2 linked regions of the Yarrowia lipolytica genome follow. The protein of the gene in region 2 purifies or fractionates together with the protein of the main gene of each other region. This does not show direct contact. Links are inferred from orthologs where the notes say so. Each region holds a gene or a part of one and is shown on either strand. Other genes may lie near its edges.

Region 1 (3,841 bases), on a different chromosome or scaffold from region 2:
CACAAACTCACCCAGTGGCTGACGTACTCCATTCTGGTCCCCATGAAGGAGTATGGAGGCCTCAAGTTTGTGGGAGAAGAGCAACTTACTGGTCTACCCGAGTACCGAAACGGAGGTCTTCTGGTCGATTTCGGGGTTCTGACTCTCAAGCCTGAGGCACTGAAACAATCGCTTAGTGGTGCCAATGACCTTCCCAAGTTTGAGCCCTCCTCTGACGTGATTGTCGAGTGGAGAGCTCTTACCGTTGGCTTCCTGGATGCCCTTCTTCCCATGGTCAATGCTATGCTGGAAACGCCTCTTGTGTTGCCCCAACTTTTGGAGGCTGGCACTTGGAAGGCTGGTCGTGAAATTGCCAAGGAAAAGCGATCCAACGGCGGGCCTCCTATTGAGATTCAGAGCGATGGCACTGTGTTCTAATCCTCGAGAAGTCGTATAACCCTTAGGGTCCCTACCATTTCTACTCCATCAACTTGCATCCTTCATGTAACTCACTGTTAACCGATCTATGTTATTAATATACATTATATGCACCCATACCACATGTACGCGCGTAGAAACTTGTACTATCGTGCAAGTAGCCATACTCGCATCCTCCTATGCCAGCCGATCAAGAGCAACAAAAACTCCGTCTTCCACTCGAACAGGTCTCTTGAAATCCACTTTACTATCGAACAGCTCCTTGGCTCCAGACACTCCAAGCGCAGTGTCGTGCTTGACGGCGTCCTCGACGTGATCCCACTGTCCAAACACAAACAGAGGCCGCTTGACAGTTCGGGGCAGGGCCAGAATGGGCTTGGGCTGTGTTTCCGGTGCAAGCTCGCTCTGTCGGAACTCTCCACCAGGACACCACACGGTGTAGTCGTATCCCTCGGGAGTAGAGGGCATGGTGAAGATGTGAGAGAAGTCGGTGGCCACACGAACAGAGTACCCGGTATCTTGTCCGTAAGCCTCTGTGGCTGACACAACCTTGTTCTCCTTGGTATCCACAGTCACTCTGACGCCCACAGGAACGGTCTGGCCATATTCGAGCTCGTGGGGCTCTGCAGCGCCAATGTTGATGTAAGGAGTGGCACCATCAACGGTTGGTGGCTGCAGCTCGATACCCTTGGCCTCAGCCTTCTTGACGTTTCTCTTTTGTTTGGAGATCTTGCTCTTGACGTTCTTGTTGAGGATCATTGGGATCGACATGCCCTCCTTGTATCGGGCGTCTCGCGACTCCATGAACGGTAGCAGCAGCTTGGGCAGCTTCTTGGCGTACTCAAAGTTGGTTGTAGTGGTTTCCGGGGTGAAAATGGACTTTCGCAGGTAATCGGGGGTGACGAAAAACTGCAGCAGAGAAGCCAGTGTCACAGCTCGCTCGGACAGCTCGGGCTTGTGGTCGTTAGATGCGTCAGAGTTGAAGACAATCTTGGGCTTTCCAAACGAGCTAGTCTCGGACTTTTTGGTCTTCTCCTGCTTGATGTCGGGCCGCTCTGAGGGTTCGTAGATGACAATCTCGTCCACGTTGTAGGCCACCGCAGCTCGAGCAATCTGGTAAGCAGTGTGGACAGCTTGTTGGTAAGACTTGACAACAGTCTCTGAAATGCAAGTGGAGGGCACAACGAGAGTCACAGAAAGCTGAGCCTCCTTGGGAGTCGTGGTCTGGAGCTCGCTCTCTTGGTTGGGTGTGAGGGTGGACTCAAACTCCTGCTGTTTGGCCTTCTTCTTGGCCTTGTGCTCCTCAGGAGTCTTTCTCTTGAGCTCGGTTAGTTATTGTGGGATCCAAATTGGCGCTCTTGACTCGCTCATACTCACTTCTGACATGTCTTCTTGTGGTGTGGTGTGCTTGATGAAAATTTCAAAATAATTTCGATTAGACTTCGTGATCTTTGATGCAGGTGGGAGGATGTGTATACAGTTGGGATTACTTGGTTTACCTGGGACTACTTAGACGTTTAGTTAATAACTTCGTATTCATCAAATATATCAAAATTGCTTGGTTTGCTGGTGTCGCGTCTACTTGGAAAGCTGGTCAACAACTGCGGCAAACAGCCAGGCTCCGGGATCGGGAACATCTGCGGTCTTTGAAACATAACTGGCTCGTCCATACTGAGCTTTGAGGGTCTTTGTGCTTTCTGCTCCCTCCTGAGCGGCTTTGGCTGCATGTTGAAGACTTCCAGACGAGGCGTAGACTTCACAGAAGGGAATCAGAGAGTCCATGACCGTTCGGTCACCCTTGCGAGCCTGTGTGTGTGTCTGGAGAGATTTTGAAGCCAATCCAACCGCCTTTGGAGCCTGTTCAACTCCTTCCTTTTGCAGGTTGTAGATGAGAGCACTAACAAAGATGCCCAGAATGGCTCCCAGAGAGCCACCCATGTCATCCAGGCAGGACGAGAGGAGATTAAGAGTTCCCTTTAAAGAAGACTGCTTGCGGGAATTCCACTCCTTTTGAATGTGAAGTGCCGCGTCTTTGGCTGCCATACCGCAGTCTCCATCACCCATTACAGTATCCCAGGTGGTGAGAGAAGGCTCGATTGAAATGACATGTTTGCAAATACGCGAAACAAGCTCGTCATAAGGCGACTCTTCGCAGTCCTTGGCCGCTAGCTCCTCCTGCTTGGAGAGCACCTTCTGTTTCTTGGGCTCGTTGACACCGACCCTTGGCCAAGCAGGAGCATCAGTTGGAGCATCGATGAGCTCTAGAAGCTGTTTGCTAGATAATTTTTCAACGAGAGTTGCAGAGTATGAAGGGTTGTAAAGAGTGATTGAAAAGCCTGGGCCGTCTAGCGACGTCTCAAAGGCTCCAGACAGGACTCGACAGGGAACAATGTTATAATCCTGCTCCAGAACAGACAGGGCCACTTGAGTTAGGGCTCCATTCTCGAGATTAGACAGCCCACCAAAGTTGTTGACCAGCAGAATAACCTCGTCCTTCTCCTTGAAGGACACAAAGGCTCGCTCCTTGTCGTTGGGGTCTAGCAAAAGAGTCAACATCTGTTTGATGAGATCTTCAGGCCGTTCGGGAATGTCGACCTCAACAAGTCCTCGTTCGTTGTGAATACCCATTCCAAGTACAGCCTTGTCATGAGGGATATGAAAGTCCACGTCTGTTCGACCAGGAACACTGCAGTGGTCCAGAGAACATCCCACCGTGACCAGTCCGTCGTTCACTGCCCGTCCTACATTGGAGACGTGATCAAAGGAACCTCCAGCCTCAGCACAGGCTCCCATGGACTTGAGAACAAGCAGGTTTCCCGCCAGTCCCCGTCTTCCGACCTTTGAGGACCGGGTTCGTCCGAGAGCGACATCATCAGTCACAGGGATGACTGCCACCTGCATGCCTCCAGACTCGGCCTGGAACTTCTCTTGGGCCAGTCCAAAGTGCAGCTTGTCGCCCGTGTAGTTTGTGATTGCCAGAATAACGCCACTGTCGGGTTCCGAGGCTCTGATACCGGCCATAACCTGTCTGGCCGAAGGAGATGCAAAAATGTCTCCACAGACAGCAGCATCTAGTAGTCCCGAGCCCACAAGACCGCTCCAGCTGGGCTCATGGCCCGATCCGCCGCCCGAAATAACTCGGACCTTGTCCGACTTTTTCTTCTTGTAATAAATGATTCTCTGATCTTCCACTAGACCCAGTTGCGGGTTGCTAGCCAGGAGAGATTCGAGGTAGAGATTGACGAGATTCGTTTTGGCGAAGTGTTTCATTTTGCGTGTGATGTGTGAGATGTGACGACCGTGAAGATGAAAGAAGCACTACTTGCACTCAACTCATTTGTTCTATATACATCGAGCGCTTTTACCTCAGAAGAAGCGGATGTCTCGAGAGAGCCTTGAGTTTAGCGTACATGAGATCGACTTT
Region 2 (2,836 bases):
GTATTAATATTTTCCGCCCCAGAGTCCCCTTTCTCTCGCAAATCATCTCTTATATCGCAATGCCCGAACCGACTTACCCCAAAATGGCCTATTGGATTGAGTGGTTTGTGGGAACCGCCTCCAACGTGGGCTTCCCTCCGACCACAGTGCTCAACGAGGCCACGGGCTTGGAGTTGACCACTCTGGAATGGTCCAAGAAATTGGCGACTGCGGCGACCACAGTTTTCAAGCGAGATGTGGATTACGTGCGAGAATACATGGTCTCCAACATCAAGGCGTACCTGACGAGCGAGGGAGCTGCGTCGACCGACTCATCGTCTGCCGCACTAATCTCCGATATCTCCGAAACCAAGGAACTGCCGGGTAACTGAACTTCTCAAGTCCAACTACAGACCAACTTTTTGGGGTGTGAATTTTTTGCAACCTTATTTGAAAATTTGAAAATTTGAAAATTTATCAAAAGTCGATATTGATTACGATCTGTGAGAAGTGTCTGTGGCAGTAAGTGTATAACTTTTACTAGGTATAATACAATCAATAAAATAAAGAGTACATGCGATGGGCCCAGAGTGGGGATTTGGAAATCTCACCCCAGACTTTGTGTAAGTGGCTAATTGATGCTGATATCAGACAGACCTTAGTAACCTCCTCGGCCACCTCGTCCACCGCCGAATCCACCACGGCCTCCACCTCGGCCTCCAAATCCGCCTCGTCCACCTCGGGGAGCTCCAAAGCCACCTCGTCCGCCTCGGGGAGCACCTCCGAAGCCTCCTCGAGCACCGCCTCGGCCACCAAAGCCTCCTCGAGCACCTCCACGGCCACCAAAGCCGCCTCGAGCACCGCCTCGAGCACCACCTCGTCCTCCAGCAGCCTTGGGCTTCTTAACGCCGGTGGCCTTGGGCTTGGGCAGGAATCGCTCCAGCGGCAGCAGCTTGTCTCCGCCAATGTAAAACTTGTCACCAGACTTGAAAGAAGCGGCCTGGAAGCCCTCGGAGGGCTTGATAGTGAACATGACATCGTTCATGGGGCCAAGAATCTCGTCGACCTTGCCGACCTGGGTCTTGTTCTCAAGGTAAATGGGGGCGTTGAAGTAGGGGATCTTCTCATTGATGGACTTGCAGACGATATCGCCCTCGCAAGCGTGCAGAAAGGCACCCATCTCAAACACCTGATCGGGAGGGCCCATCTGCATGGGTGCGCCGGTTCGGCCACCTCGGAATCCGCCTCGTCCTCTGAAGCTCATTTTTGTGTGATGTTTGTAGTAGAGGTTGTGATGAGTTCACTGTAAGGTCAAAAAGTTGTATGCACCTACTAATTTTTTCCCATTAACTTTTCTGCCCTAGCCCTGCTCATGCAGTGTACTATCCATGTTGTAGGGTAGTGCTTGTTGACTAAGCCATCACCTCTGTGACGACAATAAAATGGCCCTATCGACAGACCTGCTCAAGATCTCGCCTCTAGCAGCGCTGCTCAACAAGGATAACGTGTCGATAAACTCAGTCTATCAATTCATCGAGAAGAACGGCTTCAATGATCGCGACCTGCATACCCTAGAGTCTCTGAATGGACTAGAGAAGTGAGTATAGAGAGATGCACAGACACAGAAACACCGCTAGAACTCCTTACTAACCCAGATTATGGCCAGTTTACAACAAGAAACAGGCCAACACAAATGCCATTGTCGTGGCACTCCTTGTTCTTGCCAAGGCCAATGACGGATTCGATCTATGGACGGTGTTCGAGAAGAGCCCCGAAAATTTTGGCCATTTTTACAAAACGGTACTCAATCTCGTGGCCGGAGACAAGCCAACACGGATCCAGAAAGTGCGAACCAAACTACTGCGGTTTCTGACCGTTTCTTTCCAGTGGCTTGACTCTCAGTTGGTGCGATCAGAGGCAGGAGCATTGGTGTCGGTCTACACATGGATGCATATGGACGAGAAGGTGCGAGAGAACCTGCTCAAGGGAAACAAGCGACTGGGGAAGCTCTGGAGAGGCGCCATGAAAGCCTACGACAAGGGCGACAAGAAGGAGGACATCGATAAACAGTCTTCGTTTCTATCGACACTTACAGACATCATGTTACAGAAGGAGCACGATACGGAGTTTGTTGACACATATCTGTGTTTTCTCATCTCTATTGTGTCGCAAATCCCCTCAAGACGATTCGCCAACAGTGTTATCAAGTCCAAGAATGTGTGTTCATTGTTGAAGAAGTGTAACGCCGATTTGCTCAAGACCCTCGATTTTTACGTGCATTTTCCCATGGACGATTTCTCCGGCGAAGAGCTGACTCCTCTGCAAGTGCGAAAGCTGCAGACCCAGTATCTGGAAAAGTTCCAGCTCTATGCATTCGAGAATCTGCCTGAAAAGCTGCGACTCGCGAGTTTGTGTAACTTTGCATCTCTCACAAAGGATGAGGTCAAGAAGGAGCTGTCGAACCTGTCCAAGGCTGAAATTGAGAGCCTGTTGAACCTGCTGGGAAGCTCAGGCAAGAAACTGGTGACTCTCAACTACCAGTTGGCATCTCTCACTTCAAACCGAAACCTGAATGCCGAGTTTGACGCTATAGACCTGCTGCCTACAGAAAAGTCGCTCAATTCACAGTACTCCGAGCTTACTCTACCCCGACTTACTCTGCAGTATCTCAGTATGAACGACTTTATTCTCAAGTCGTTGCGTCTTCAGCAGGTCGAGATCTTCCATCAGATCAATAGTGATGTGGAGAATGTCGTCAACCGTCTCAAGACGAGAAAACGAAACGACGCCGGAGAGGAAATCACAGGATTCAGCAAGTACGCTACAAAGATCCTTAACGAGGCTGTTCTGCATGTGG

What was found.
Region 1: the proteins of YALI1_C33098g (region 2) and YALI1_E24513g purify together in Saccharomyces cerevisiae (affinity purification with mass spectrometry, with the first as the bait; 3 studies listed by BioGRID). This does not show direct contact. The link is inferred for Yarrowia lipolytica from reciprocal best matches to the Saccharomyces cerevisiae genes GAR1 and UPA2.

Annotation. Positions count from the first base shown.
Region 1 is NC_090774.1:2,449,545-2,453,385, forward strand, and holds YALI1_E24513g (uncharacterized protein), read right to left. Parts: upstream 1,804-3,841; coding exon 1,795-1,803; intron 1,741-1,794; coding exon 595-1,740; downstream 1-594. Other genes in the region: YALI1_E24487g (uncharacterized protein), read left to right, coding at 1-417; YALI1_E24532g (uncharacterized protein), read right to left, coding at 1,996-3,687.
Region 2 is NC_090772.1:3,308,585-3,311,420, forward strand, and holds YALI1_C33098g (uncharacterized protein), read right to left. Parts: upstream 1,244-2,836; coding exon 638-1,243; downstream 1-637. Other genes in the region: YALI1_C33086g (uncharacterized protein), read left to right, coding at 60-371; YALI1_C33100g (uncharacterized protein), read left to right, coding at 1,422-1,576, 1,635-2,836. UniProt on the Saccharomyces cerevisiae protein: Non-catalytic component of the H/ACA small nucleolar ribonucleoprotein (H/ACA snoRNP), which catalyzes pseudouridylation of rRNA and is required for ribosome biogenesis.